Lytechinus pictus: one gene and its partner. The protein of the gene in region 1 purifies or fractionates together with the protein of each later gene. This does not show direct contact. Links are inferred from orthologs where the notes say so. Each region holds a gene or a part of one and is shown in the gene's direction. Other genes may lie near its edges.

Evidence for each region.
Region 2: the proteins of serine/threonine-protein phosphatase 2A regulatory subunit B'' subunit gamma-like (region 1) and centrosomal protein 43-like purify together in Homo sapiens (affinity purification with mass spectrometry; 3 studies listed by BioGRID and IntAct, counting the BioPlex papers as one, with this or other methods). This does not show direct contact. The link is inferred for Lytechinus pictus from reciprocal best matches to the Homo sapiens genes PPP2R3C and CEP43.

The regions. Positions count from the first base shown.
Region 1 is NC_087251.1:8,499,367-8,507,372, forward strand, and holds the start of serine/threonine-protein phosphatase 2A regulatory subunit B'' subunit gamma-like, read left to right. Parts: upstream 1-4,553; 5' UTR 4,554-4,614; coding exon 4,615-4,707; intron 4,708-6,737; coding exon 6,738-6,787; intron 6,788-7,450; coding exon 7,451-7,505; intron 7,506-8,006. UniProt on the Homo sapiens protein: May regulate MCM3AP phosphorylation through phosphatase recruitment. May act as a negative regulator of ABCB1 expression and function through the dephosphorylation of ABCB1 by TFPI2/PPP2R3C complex.
Region 2 is NC_087254.1:18,222,880-18,230,647, forward strand, and holds the start of centrosomal protein 43-like, read left to right. Parts: upstream 1-4,366; 5' UTR 4,367-4,469; coding exon 4,470-4,550; intron 4,551-7,768. UniProt on the Homo sapiens protein: Required for anchoring microtubules to the centrosomes. Required for ciliation.

The DNA.
Region 1 (8,006 bases):
AATTATTTGTCCGGGGGTCAAACTCAAGGTCAAAGTAAAGGTCAAAGGTCACGACCTTATACATTGCTCCAATACATTATTTGATGCATGTTTTAGATTCCTCTCTGAATTTCCTAATAAATGGTACCTGTTTCATGAAAATTGGTCAACACGTTACGACGCAGTGGCCATTGAAAGTTGAGGGTCACGCCCATTTTTGTCAAAACAAGGAGAAAAGGGCGGGCCGTAGCGCGAGAACCGACGGACCAATTGGACTAATTTTTTTTGTTTTGTGCGTGGGCCATGGTGAATTTTATGTGTACCAATTTACAACGAATTCCGAGAGGGTCGGGTGCAAAATTGCACATTCATTGGGTGAATTGGCATGGAATGACCCTAAATCCTTATTCAAAATGATCATATAAACTTGTCCTTACTGTCAAAAGAAGCCCCTGAATTTTCTCTTTCCATACATGTCAAACACAAGTTAATCAATTCAGATCACATTTTTCTAGCAGCCTGAACTTCCCGAAAAAATGTGCCATTTTCCCCCCTAAATCAGCCTGTTTTATGTTGACACTTTTCAGTGTGGCTTCAGACACCCTAGTATTACCTCTGGTGAGCCTTCGCCGTCGAGAAAGCGCTAGCCCACTCACACGTATTGCGAGGCTAGTATGCTATACTAACGAATCCCCATACTAACCTCACACCACGTACGTGTTTACGCTACGGATTTTAGAGTTGTCGGTTAAGAATCGCTTCATACCACAAATAATGTTACTTAGCCGAAAACTCATTCCGCAACTCACCAGGGCTTTTTCTGGTGAAAAGCGTTCCAATTTCAATTTTACAAATATTTTTTTATGTAAAAAGCATATAAAAAAAGAGCAAAATCACTTACCTCGGGCTTGGCCTGGAAAGTTGCTTCGCATGTCTCTTCGACGGAAATAAAACTAAGGAAGGTTGTTGATGGCGCTAAAGCCAAGTAAAAAAAGAAAGTAGTTGATCGTCCTCGCGCGCATCTATTTTGGCTGCCGCATGAAATTTTTTACTATTTACTATTTTCAAAAATTGGCTAAAAAAATATCAAAAAGTGATGTTTCTCGCCCGCTTCCCTTTTTGATTGCCGCATCAATTTTATTCATATTTACTATTATTATGGCTGCTGAAAAGCTAAAAAAATACACAAAATTGGCGAGCGATTTGCTCTCATGTGCTCTCGGATCTCTTGCACCTTCCTAAAACAATTGCAAAGTCCGATGTCGCCAATGAACTGCAATAAAGAAAAAAATTCTGATTTGGTTTTTTATTGGTAATTTGAAGATACAATCATAAATTAGCGAGAAAGTAAAGTTTGCAAACTCTGAAAAAATCACAGATTTCTTCATTTTTATTGCATTTTCGGGGACCCCGCTTCCTGAATGTGAACAAATCTGTCGCGTGCTTTGGAAATATGGTGCAGAAAAATCAATTTTAATGACGTAATTTGTATTTCAGGGTTTTTTTTTTGTGAGTGATAGCGCCTGTACCCGGGCCTGTACTTCGATGTGTGTTGCGGTGATTGCCCGGGGGGGGGGGGGGCACTTACATTGACGAGTGGATAACAAAAAAAACACGTAAAAAGGATGTCTTTTTCAAGATGGGGCATGTTACGTAAGTAATGTAATAAGGGTGTCAAAAACACTAAAATAATGAAAAAAGGGTATCTATTTTCGCTAGAAAAGCTACGTGTTTAGGGTAAAATTTGCGAGGGTGTAAAAAATTAAGACTGAAATGTTTTATAAAGGATGTACTTTTTGCCCCAAGAGTCAACACTACGTGTTTAGAGTACGATTTGCGCGAGATGTGGGAGGTGGGCCGGGCTGTACTAAACCCAATGATGTGGGTAAAGGTAAAGCCGACGACCGACGTAACAATAAAAATATCGCTGTACTTGTTTAGGGGGCCAATTCAGGGAGTATCATTTTGTTTCCAATACTTGTTAAAGGACAAGTCCAACCCAACAGAAAGATGATTTGAATAGAAAAAGAAAATTCAAACAAGCAGAACACTGAAAATTTCATCAAAATTGGATGTAAAATAAGAAAGTTATGACATTTTAAAGTTTCGTTAAATTTCACAAAACAGAACATATGCACATCCTGGTCAGTATGCAAATGATGACATCACCCACTCACTATTTCTTTTGTATTTTATTATATGAAATATCCTAATTTTCTCCTCATTGTCATGGGAAACAAAGTTTCATTCCCCCCTGAACATGTGGAATTCGATTGTTTTTCTTCAGTTAGATGCACATCTTTTTAATTATTGCAAAAAAATGCTCAGAATGTGTTATCTTCATTTCTTGTTGAAATGTCCAAAAGTTTTAGCTTGTGATTCATGCTCGAAACAACTCCCAAGGATGCCCTTTTAACAGTTAATTGACCAAAAAACGAGTTATACAACATCAGTTTTGAAATTTTGTCCAAACCGCTCGTTACACTCTCGCGAAAAATAAAGCCTAACTATATATCTTACCATAATCAGAAATCACTTTAAAAAGGCTTTGCTCTACTTTACTCTACTTTGCTCCGCCGCCCTTCTTTTTGCCTCCCCATCCTCATTACAATTGAACAGCAATGGAGTTTCTCTCCCCCCCCCCCCTCCACCATGCTTACCCTTCCGGTCTTCCTAACTTCACCACCGATTATTTCATTTTTTTGATTAACGAACCTTCGGAACAACAAATCTTATTTCGTTTTCGGATTATCAAACCTTCTGAATAAGGAACCTTATTTTGTTTTGGACTAACAAACCTTCAGGATAACAAACCTTATTTCGTCTTCGGACTAACGAACCTTCGTATTAAATAACGAACCTTATTTCGTTTTCGACTGACGAACCTTCAGAATTACGAACCTTCGGAATAACGCCACAAATGTTCAGATTAACGTTTTCGGATTAAAGAAAATCGAGGTAATAGGCAATTTACATGTTTCGGAATTACGAAGTGTAACCGCCTTTTTTATCAAAAAGTGACACAGGCTGTCACTGGTGTTTTAGAGCGAGTATTTATCGCCGATGGTTCAGGTAGGTGTAGCGGTAGTGAAGTGTAGTGGAGCCTATATATGCACCCACCCACGGGTGCATTACATGCCGCTGTGCACAGGAAAATTGTAGACATGGCGCATGCAACACTTGCACTTAGATTTTTACAAGAATAACAATATTCTACGAAACTTACCGAATGATATGAATCAAATTTTTGCTAATCCTAAAATACTACATTTAAGCGCTGATTTCTCTTCTCGTTGATGAACTGAGGAGTTAACTCGCATTTCCCGAATTTTACCTCTAAAGAGGGTGCTCAATTCATATTCATAACAAAGACACTACAAAGGAAAGACTAGGCACTAAAATTATTTTACACGTAAATCGATGCAAAGCATTACGTGAAGTCGGCAAATTGTCCACTATAGACTTTGGTCGAATGTTTGTTGACAAATGAATGGTAGCTCGCACTGCTGGCTTCGTTCAAGGCACGTATAATTTTCTATTGTTTTGTTTTATGTGTAATTACTTTTAGTGTTTTCCAAAAAGTTTTATTGTCAGTAATCCGGCCCAAAGCGCCGAAGGGCCAGATGAGCTTGTGGCGTGGCGTCCGTCGTCTGTCCACAATTTCAAAATGCTTCTTCTTGGTCATTTCAAGTCCGATTTCAATTCTGTTTGCTTTTTTTTATAGCACTAGGTTGGGGATTCAAAACTTTTACAAAGAATTTTGAAACTCATTAAATATGCTAATTTATGCACATTTTTCAAAATTCACAAAAAATGCTTCTTTATTTGTTTTCCGATTTTAATTTTTATGCTTCCTTCTGGTAGAGCTTCATGAGTTTCACTAAACTTCTACACAGAATTTTGAAGAGAAAAAATTTTATGCTAAAATTGCAAAATCGATTTATGCGTATTTTTCCAAATTCACATAAAATACTTCTTCTTTATTTGCCAATTTTTTTCTTCTTCCGTCTGGTAGAGCTTCATAGGTTCACCAAACTTCTACACAGAATTTTGAGTAGAAAGTTATTTATGTTAAGTTATGCAAAATTTATTCATAAATCCTAGAAAATGCCTCTTTTATTTGTTGACTGATTTGATTTTTTTTCTTCCATCTGGTAGAGCTGCATGAGGTTCACCAAACTTGTACACAGTATTTTGAAATTTCGACCAGAAAATTACTTACGCTAATTTTTGCAAAATTTATTCATAATCACAAATGTCTGCTTCTTATTTATTTGTTGACATTTTATTTAAATTTTTTTTTGTTCCATCAGTGAGCTACATGAGGTTCACCAAGGTTCTACACAGAATTTAGAAATTTTGACTAGAAAATTATTTATGCTTATTTATACGAATTTTTTTCTTCATAAATTAGAAAAATTGCTTCTTTTTTGTAATTTCTTCATCAATTTCAATTCTGTTTCCTCAATTTATGTCACCAATATAATTCTCTACAGTGTCAACTTGGCTGAAATTAAAAATTGTGTTAAATTTCTTTGCGAGATGCTGGATGAGCTCCACATCATTAATGTGCTAGTTTCACTCTTTCTTTGAATATGTTCAGGTAAAACAGAAGGAGACAAAAAGGCAGAAGAAATGGAGATGTTCACAAAACTTTACACTGAAATGAAAGGTCCAGATAAAAAGCAAGACAAGACTCTCAGTGCCATTCCCAGATTTTATTTCAAAGTAAGTAATTATTCAGAGAATTTTTTTTGTCAGTAGGGCCAAGATTAGATGGTGGATTCAGGTCAACAGTTTTTATTTCAAGTCTTGTTAAAAATCACTGTATTAATCAAAATCCTTTTTGTTCATTTCGAAAGTTGCACTGTTATATCAGAGGGTGTTCCTGATTTATATTCCTTTATCTTGGCCTTTGTGACATCTTTGATACTCTATAATGTGATTCATATTGCAGCTTCAAAAAACAGAATTAAGCTATACAATTTGTATGTGTCAAGTTTAAGATTTTTGCCTTGCCTAAACAAAGTTTGGCAGAGACCTAGGAATCCCCTTTCCTGTTAGTCTGATGGTCTGTTACATAAATGTTAAAGTTTTTGTTTAACTTGCTATCATTTCTTTATTATCTCGCCCACCAGAGGTGAAGGCGAGACTAAGGGATCCAAATGTCGTCCGTCATCCGTCCGTCACAAACCTAATGACACAAAACTCCACAACCGTAAGTCGCTTTTCAACCAAACTTGGATGGTAGATGGACTTGGGGGACCTGCATGTTATGCTGCAGTCGGAGGTCACATGGTAAGATCAAAGGTCATTTTCAGGTCAACGTTAAAGTTTACATGCAAGACTCCACATGTGAAGTTTACATGTGAAGTTTACATGTGAAGTTTACATGTGAAGCGTGTAAGGTCACATGGTAAGGTCAAAGGTCATTTTCAGGTCACGTTAAAGTTTACAAGTTTACATGTGGAGTTTACATGTGGTTTACATGTGGAGTTTACATGTGGAGCGTTGTGGCCCAGTGGATTAGTCTTCGGACTTTGAAACAGAGGGTCGTGGGTTCGAATCCCAGCCATAGCGTAATTTCCTTCGGCAAGAAACTTATCCACATTGTGCTGCACTCGACCCAGGTGAGGTAAATGGGTACCCGGCAGGATTAATTCCTTGAATGCTTGAGCGCCTAGGCAGCCCAGCTAAAGCCGGGGTAATAATAGCAGGGCCCGCTGGGAGAACAGTTTTCGGAACTGAAGCAGCTACCCTGGGTAAATATACCGCTATTATTATTATTATTATTATTACAAGCAAGACTCTCTTATGACACCTAACTCCGCAACCGTAAGTCACTTTTCAACCAAACTTGGATAGTAGATGGACTTGGGGGACCTGCATGTGATGCTGCAGTCAGAGGTCACATAGTAAGGTCAAAGGTCATTTTCAGGTCAACGTTAAAGTTTACATGCAAGACTCTCTTATGACACCTAACTCCGCAACCATAGGTCACTTGTCAACCAAACTTGGATGGTAGATGGACTTGGGGGACCTGCATGTTATGCTGCAGTCAAAGGTCACATGGTTAGGTCAAAGGTAATTTTCAGGTCAATGTTAAAGTTTACATGCAAGACTCTCTTATGACACCTAACTCTGCAACCGTAAGTCGCTTTTCAACCAAACTTGGATGGTAGATGGACTTTGGGGACCTGCATGTTATGCTGCAGTCGGAGATCACATGGTTAGGTCAAAGGTCATTTTCAGGTCAACTTTAAAGTTTACATGCAAGACTCTTATGACACCTAACTCCGCAACCGTAAATCACTTTTCAACCAAACTTGGATGGAAGATGTACTTAGGCGACCTGCATGTTATGCTGCAGTCGGAGATCACATGGTAAGGTCAAAGGTCATTTTCAGGTCAACATTAAGTTTACGTACAAGGCTCTTAGGACAAGAGTTATTCTCTCCCAGTCATTTCACAATGAAGTTTCGATACAATTCTGTTGCGTGCCCTCGCAAATCACGATATTTCTGGTTATTTTCATAAGGCGCGAGACACAAAATCGCTTTTGCCTTGTTTCTGCATCTGATTGATGTCTCAATTAGTCTACTTTAATTCCATGATTGTAGACTTTGCAACTTCTATTGTATTTTCTCTTTATTAAAGTAAGATTGGAACTAGTACTGTACAATAATAGTTCTAAGCTGATTGTTTTGGGGTGCTCTGTGTACTTTGATTGTGAATTCATGTTGTTTTATTTGATATAGTTACCAGGTGAAGATGATGTACTGCTTCAAAAATTAAGAGAGGAATCCAGGTAAGATATTTTTTTGTGAATGCAGGTAAAAAGCATCAAGAATGCACATAATTTGTGAAAAGTACACACCACCAATGTTTATTATCATTTCTTTATTGTGCGGTGTTCTCTTTTCCTCTCTTTATGCCGCCACCAACCATAGATGGTTTGTGAGGCAATTTATGTTTTGGGGGTCATCACTCTGTTTATTTGCCCTGTTTTTATTTTGATAAAAGAGTGATCTTCTGCTTAGCCCATGTAAGGAGAGATGTTATTTGGGGGTCATGAGGTCAAAGGTCACAGTGGTCATTATATACATTGAAACATTTTGTTCTCCAATAACTGGAGAACTGACTGAGAGATCAACTTCAAGCTAACAAATAACAGATATGAAAATATAGAAACTCTCTTGAACATTATATTATTAGATCATGTGTGAGAGGGGAACAAGTAGATCTTCAGTTGAGACTTGAATTCAGCAAATAAAAAAAAAAGGAAGAAAATATTAGTGCAATTGCAATTACAATCCAGTTGTGAAGTGAGAGTTATACTTGGTTTTAAGTTAAATGCAGTATATGTATTTAAGATCTGGTAATAGTTGTAGCCTGCGGATGTAGACTGCGTGAAGTAAAAATTGAATAATTCATGTACATGTATGTTTTTCTATTGGTTGATCTTATTTAGAGCCGTTTTTTTGCAAAGGAGGAGTAGAGAGCTACTAGATAATGAAGAGCTGCAGGTATATCATTGTTTTGTTTTGTTTATTGAATATTTTGATAAATATACAACACCCCTTACCCTTTCCTCTTCAACCAAGTATGAATACCCACATAACACTGCATCAAAGTCAATAGAAAGGTAATAATGTGAAAAGACATTTAAAGGCCAATTCATTCTCAGTGAGCAAGTTGATTTGAATGGTAAAACCAATAAAAATCAAACAAGCATAATACTGAAAATTTCATAGTAATCCAATGTTGAATAAAAAAAGTTATGACATTGTAATTTTTTTGTTAAATTCATAAAATGTGTTAACTGCATGTACAATGCATATTATATGTAAATGAGATAGATAGTCCATGATCTCACACATTCACCTTTTTTTTCATTAAATGAAGTACCAAATTTTTCATTTTTTAGACTCAACAGTACAAAAGCTCTTGACTGAATCGGTATAAGTTCAGAATATGTCAATGATTATTGAAATGTTCATGGAGCAGTCACACTATGTTCTACATTT
Region 2 (7,768 bases), on another chromosome or scaffold:
TTCTAGTTGTGACCTGATAGTTTTCCTTTCACGATCCTCTCCCTTGTTTTAATGAGTATTTCAGTCGCCTACTTTTTTTCTTGCTATTCTCCTCGCCTTCCCTTTTCGTATCGTTAGAAATAGATTTTGGTGCTTAAATTTTTTTTTTTACAGATCGGAAGTTTGGAATATCGAATTGTGATTGAAATGATTTTCCCCTGATTTTCACAAGAATTAAGCGGAATTATTCCTTAATGGGGATCGAGCTTTAAAAGTTGATCCTGGAAAATGTTTGAAGAGAATAGATTTTGTCCGGAATATTTGCATTTATACGACTCGATCATATATCGGCCTGCTTCATGAGGATAAATATTTTCCATATTTGTTTAGATGGGAAATATTCACCCTGACTTTTAAAAATGGCAGAATAAAAACAAAACGCAATGGTGAAGGTCTGAGAAAATCCATCAAAGATATTAAAAAGGTATTAGAAGATTATTTTCTTTTCAAAAGCAGCAGAAAACATCAAGAGTAAATAATGGTGAAGGTTTAAAGAAAATGTTTACCTGTAGCGGCTAAGAAAGCAGGAATGCTTGTAAGTAAGAACCAGAGGACCGACTGCTTAAGGTCCTCTCCGAGGGACATGGTAATAATGAAGATTAACAGGGGCGGATCCAGCTTTCGCCAGTGGGGGGGGGGGGGCGGAAAAAAATATTCACTCATATTTTCCCCGATCGGCCACGCTCAAAGTTGATTTGTTTGTTTCTTTGAAGGGGGTAGCCCTGCACTGAAACAAACGGTATCAAAATTAGGCTGGGCCGGAATTATAGCCTTCCAATTTATGTCAGTTTCTTTGAGAGACAAATCCTTCGGAACTTAATGATCAACCGTGGCCAGTTTTGGTTGTTTAAGCAAATTTCATAAATTATTAAATTGAACTTTAATGCATGAGTGAGCACAAATTGCACTTTTTGGGGGCAGCCTTTCAACTTTATCATGTGGATCTCAGCAATGTGTTAATGGGAGTCGGGGGAATATAGGGGGTGAAGTAGGTTGATTGAATAAGGGTCAACGTTACAGAAAATTTAGCCTCCCCTCCCTCTCTCCCGCCCTCCCCTCCTGTTGAGAGACTGATTGCTATTGTCATGTACGCGTGAAGTCCAGAGCAGAATGTTGATTTAATCATGTTAATGATGAATTCTGAATTGAGGCATCAACTTTTTCCTATCAATCGATCATTTAATCAACAATTTATCATGAATCAACTCATTCAATGTGATCAATCAAACATTCATTTTTTTCAATATTTTTTTTTCATAAATCATCATAATCAGTCAATTTTGGTAACCATTCAATAAAAAGAGAAAAAAAACTGACCATCAGCCACCGGTCACTTGGCAGTTAAGTTCTGAATCGGGCTACAATCCAGGAAGTGAGAGAGAAATAGAGAGGTGGAGAGGGAGAGAGAGAAGAGAGAGAGAGGGGGGGGGAGAAGAAACCGGGGAAATGGATCGAGGTGGAGGGGAGTACATAATCAATTTAACATAACACCCCTAGCTTTGCAAGTTCCGAAGGACTAAGCTCTCAAAATAATTGTAAGGCAGCCAATTCCCGCCCAGCCTATATAGCCAAGCTTATAGTCTCTCAGGAGCTAGGAGAGAAGGGGGGGGGGGGTTAGAGATGGAGGGAGGGGTTGCTAAATGTTCTGTTGACCTTTATCCCATCAACGTACTTCACCTACTTAAGTTCTATCTTACCCCCTATTCTCCTGACTCTCATGGACACATTGCTGAGATCCACATGATAAAGTCAAATGCTGCACTAAAATTGCAATTCATGATCACTCATTCATTAAATTTCAATGTGATAACAAACTGATCACAATTGATCATTAATTCATCATAAAACCCTCAAACCCTCAAAAGTTCCCCCCTCCCCCCCCAAAAAAAAAACGGAAAGAAATTGGAAGGCTAATTCCGGCACAGAATTTTCTTACCCTTTATTTCAGTGGGCAGTGCTCGCTCAAGCATGAGTAGTTTTCCAACTTTTGGTGTCATTTGAAAGTTGACTTTATTGGCTTTCCATATGAGTCTTTCCCCCAAAAGTGATATATTTTTTATTTGGCAGCCATTTCAAAAGTGGCGGGCGTGCCCCTCGATCGGCCCCCTGGATCCGTCTATGGATTAATGCCTTACCAAACTTTGGCAAGAGCTCACCAATTGGGAATCGAACCCGGGTCATCGGAATCCGAAACCCGCCCCGCTCTACCGACTGAAGGGAAAAGCAAGGAAGGGAAAGAAAGAAATAAATAAATAAAGAAAGAAAGAAAGACATACAGACAGACAGACTGACAGAAAGAAAGAAAGAAAAAATGAAGGGAAAGGGAGGAATGGAAGAAGATGGAAGGAAGAAGGAATAAGGACGAAAGAAAAATGAGAGAAAGTTAGAAAGAAAAAGGAAAAGAAAAAAGCAAAGGAGAAAAGGAAAGAGAGAGAGAGTAAAAAAAGAATGTATTCAAACTTTATACCGAAAAAACTAAAAATACCGAAAAAAATATAAAACGAATGTATTCATCACTTTATACCGAAAAAAATATAATTGAGTATAAGGGAAATGCACAAAATTTTAAGTTCGCTCGCCATGTTCCCGCCCCGCCTACTGATATCTCCTGGCTACGCCAATGCCATAAATAATGTCTCAAAAGGCTATTATATTTTACTTTTCATGATAGGAACGAAAAAGCTAGAGGACAATTAATACAATTTTCCCTGAAATTTCCAAATATGTGGGATAGCCCATTAAAGGAAGGGGGAGGAGTCCGGGAGGAGTACACAAAAGGCAATTTTTGTTCTTGGCAGGCGAGTGTCGAATTTTTGACAGTTGAGGTCAAAGACCGTCTTTTTTAATTACTCCTGGGGATCAGATCACTGGCAAATCAGACACCCCCCCCCCAAAAAAAAAAAAAAAACAGCCCAGATATTATCAGTTCGAGAAGCCCTTTTCACTGTTATACCTGTAAATGCTTTCACAATTATTTATATAAAAAAATCATCAAATGATTCTCGGAAACACTCATCCCACCGGGGTTTAAATAAAAGCAAAAACTGAAAGGAAACAAATCATCGGGCGTACACGGGGCGTACACTCTGCCCCAATCGGCCCAGTGACCACTGACCATTATAGCCTGTCCTATTTTAGCGTACTTTGCTAATGACGGAAAAAATGGGGAATTCAAATCGCGATTTGAAGTTGTCCTGTCCCGGTCCTGTCATTCAAGGAGAAAACCTCACATGATAATTTTATGATAATTACTGGGTTTTTTTTTTCAACAAAAGCGAGACGATGGAACCCATCCTTGCTGTAATAAAAGCGGGAATAAAAAATGATGTTGTTGTACGTAGATATGAAGTTAATTGTTGATAACATAAAAAAAAAAAAAAGTTAATTGTTGATGATGATACCGATTAAAGATTTAGAAAGTTATCAGAATTTATTTTTTTTATGTGACGTCATAATGCGAGTTATATAGCTTATCGTGAATGAAAAAAAAACAAAGAAAAAATCAATGAAATTTCATTTTCCAATGCAATAATCATTTGATGTATAAGTTATCGCCTTTTCATTCCGGTTACAAAAGCGCAATACACTTAAATGATTTTATTGAACCTGTATGTCAACAGGCAAATCATTTGCCTGTAATAATATGTCTGTAAAGCGCTTAGAGACGTCGTTCCGATGTATTAAGCGCTATATAAATGCGGAATATTATTATTATTATTATTTGCATCTGCTCCTGAATGACAAAAAATATATTATAGTCATCATGAACCATTCAAAATTGAATTAATGCATTTTAGATTGCATTACACTTAGGGCAGCTGCTCGTACATGACGTCAAATAAAAAATTTCAAATTTTATTAAATTTCTTAATCTATATGATTTTTCTCAAGGCTTCTTTACCAAATTTTATCCGGGTAGTTTTACAACAAACTTTTCGTCAGGGTGTAGGCCCTACTTCCCTTTAAGTGAGGGTCTTATTTTGGTTAGAGTCAATAGTCATTCCTAAGAATTATTCTTAACCTGATGGTCTATTCAAGATTCACAGACATGCAGTAGCAAATTACATCACAAAAGTATATTTATATAGCGGCTATAATTACAACCTTATTTTTGGGTCATCCGTTTGTAAACATGAATTAATTACTGACCGTACAACGTTTTACACATTATTGTGAATTGAATTGTATTGTATTGAACTGTATGAGGCGGGGGGGGGGGGGTCTTTTTTTATTTGGCAACCAGTCAAATGGACTACAGTATTTTCGCCATAGAGAGTCATAGTTTTTCCCCCCTGAATCCCCTTTGTAGACACCATACTTAGCCTTGCCGACTACTATCTCTGCAAGATAACTTCAATTATTTTTTTGGCTCTTACATTCATTTGGACTTGTACTCGATTTGGAACAATTTACCCTACCAAAGTGCCATCATGTCTGCTGACGAAGACACAGAATTAAGAGACCTCATTGCTCAAACATTGGAGAATAATGGGGTCCTTGGGAAGATTCGGGTAAGTTTCGTTTGCCTGGCCTGTGCCACTCCCTGTGAGCTGTGCCTGTGGCGGTACGTACTGGTACTCGTCTCGCGCTCGGCCTCGGGCCATGCCACTGCAGGGCCGGGCCGAGCGAGCCAGGGTCAGGGAAGTCGGCTGCGGCGCGGCATGCAGGGCCCGCGAAGCTTCACCTTCGCTACCCGTGACGTTCGTGTACCGTGGCGTAGGCTCCTCGCTCCTCGCTCTGATACTCTCTCTAGTCTTGAGGACGCAATGATGATGACTTTTAAAATAATGAAATATACTTCTTTTTGACTTTCGTTTTGACACTCTTCCCTTAGTCGCAGAAGTGAGAAGAGAAGGGCCAAAACAAAGATCATAAGATGGATTTCCCTCGGAAATCCATCTTTTGAAACAAAAATAACTTGAATTTTATGAATTTCATTGATTTTTACACCTTCCTACGCCTAATGCGTAGGAAGGTTTTAAAAATTATAATATAAAAATGTGAAAAAATTAAGGTTTCTTACCTAACTGATACCGAGTAGACCCCTCGATCCACATGTAAACAACGCAAACTTCAATAGCGTCGACCCTTGAACCGCTTACGTATGACGTACTTCCGGCTAGCGATGCCGTTCTGATGAATAATTTATAGAAAAAAATATTACTTCGCAAATGTTAAAATTTATCACGTAATTATAAATAATTAGTATAAAAATACTAATAGGCCCTAATTATTTATAGGCCTAATCACGTATGACGTAATAAATTTTAGTATTTGTGAAATAATAATTTTTATCTAAAAATTATTCATCTTTTAGAGCTTTGATATCTGTTTTTTCCTGGTTGTTTTTTGTTTTGTTTTGAAAGAAATAGACCACTCTTTTCCTTTTCTTTTGGCTTCAACTAATACTTTTGTGCCTTTCAAGTCTATCTATCATGTCCATGGGGAGATTGGTAAATTTGGATTGTTAAGTTCTTTTCCACAAAATCTTGCTAATTTTCTTGTTTTGTTTCATAATAGTATGGAAGTTGTGTAAAAAATTGTGTACATTTATGTGCAGTGATTTCACTCTAGAATCTGAATTTATTTATTTTTCTTAAAAAAAGATAGCTCAAACAGGGCCTTTGTAATACAATGTATGTACAGTATACAAATCTAAGAAATGCATTGAAAACCGATAGAATATATTAAAGCTTTATTTTTATCGTTCTTGATATTTGTAATAAATTGCATACAATGCTACGTACACATACACTCAGCTGCTCATCCCTCCTAAAATAATTGTAATCAAATGTCCATTGTCTCTAACATCAAAAGCTACATATTATACATGTATAACAAATTGTTGAAACAAAAGAATACATAAGGAATCGGTGAAACAATCAAATACATCAGAAAATAGCACACTTGTATTTTCATTTGGTCATACAAAGTACAAAAGGAATGATAATTTTCATATGTAAAAAAAGACCTCCGTACATACATTTATGTATACAATACTAAAGTTGAAAAAGAGCTTGTAATTTAAATCAGAAAATTTCTTTACAAAAACAATATTTTAAACAAATTCATTTAGGAAATTATCTACATGATGCTGTTTTGATGCCAACTAAATTATATAAATTATCTATCATTCATGATCACCTTCATTTGGCAAAAAAAGAGGCGAGTATTTGTGATTTTGCGTAATTTGCATAATTAATTAGAATTAAAGGAGAATGAAACTCTTGAAGCAAGTTAGCTTTTGTGAAAGCAGAAAAATCAAAGAATAAGATCAACAAAAGCTTGAGTAAAATAGGACTAGCAATAGAAGAGTTATGAGCATTTGAATGTCGAGATCACTAATGCTATGGAGATCCTCCGATTGGCAATGCGACCAAGATCTACGATGTCACAGATGAACAACTCTCCCCTTTTGGACACTGAAAATATACCCCAAAACATCTCTTTTTGCTCATTCTTATCATATGACAAACGATTCATCAATTATATAATGTTGTGAAACCTCTGTACTTTTCCTCTCATAAAGAGAACACCTCACTTTGTGATAGACTCTATAAAAGTGAGAATATAAGTGAAATAAGTACTAAAGTAATGAGGGAGTTGTACGTGTGTGACATCACAGATCTTGGTCGCATTGCCAATGGGAGGATCTACATGGCATTAGTGATCTCAATATTCAAATGCTCATAACTTTCTTATTATTCATTCAATCTTCCTCAAACTTTCAACAATATGTTTCTTTGATTTTTCTCTTTGATATGGATTCAGCTGGTTTCAAGGGTTTCATTCCTTTAATTAGAATAAATTATTTTACACATATTAAGAAGAAAAATTACAAAGTGAAATGATTACACATCAGTTGAGCTTTCTTTCACCTTTCCATTGATACCTAAATTACTTCAAAGGGCTAAAAAACAAAGCAGTTAGAGCCTGTTGAAGACTTGGGTTCAAAATGTTCACAAAATGGTCACAAAAATCGGTTCTGTATTACATTGACTTTACATTAAGACAATGACCACAAATTTGGATGAATATGCGCGACTCAAACTGGAATAACTTTATAAGTTCTTGATGAAAATTAGAGTTCTTGGTATTATATGAAAGATCTTTTCAAGAGCTTTCAAATGTTACCAAATTTATTGATATTTGATGATTTTCATTTTTTTGTCACATACCTACTCAATTCATGACTATATAGAATGGGATCTTTCGCATCGAAATTGGATATAAAATAAGAAAGGTATGACATTTCGTTTATTTTTCAAAAAACAGTTTTAATTCTATTCACAACTCAGTGACATCACATGCAAATGAGAGAGTCGAGAAGTCCATCATTCACTATTTTTTTAATTGTTTGAATCATACAATATTGAATTTTTTACCAATTTGACTTTAACTTAAGGACCAACTTCAAGGAGAATGAAACCCTTGAAACCAGCTGAATCCATATCAAAGAGAAAAATCAAAGAAACATATTGTTGAAAGTTTGAGGAAGATTGAACGAATAATAAGAAAGTTATGAGCATTTGAATATTGAGATCACTAATGCCATGTAGATCCTCCCATTGGCAATGCGACCAAGATCTGTGATGTCACACACGTACAACTCCCTCATTGCTTTAGTACTTATTTCACTTATATTCTCACTTTTATAGAATCTATCACAAGGTGAGGTGTTCTCTTTATGAGAGGACAAGTACAGAGGTTTCACAACATTATATTATTG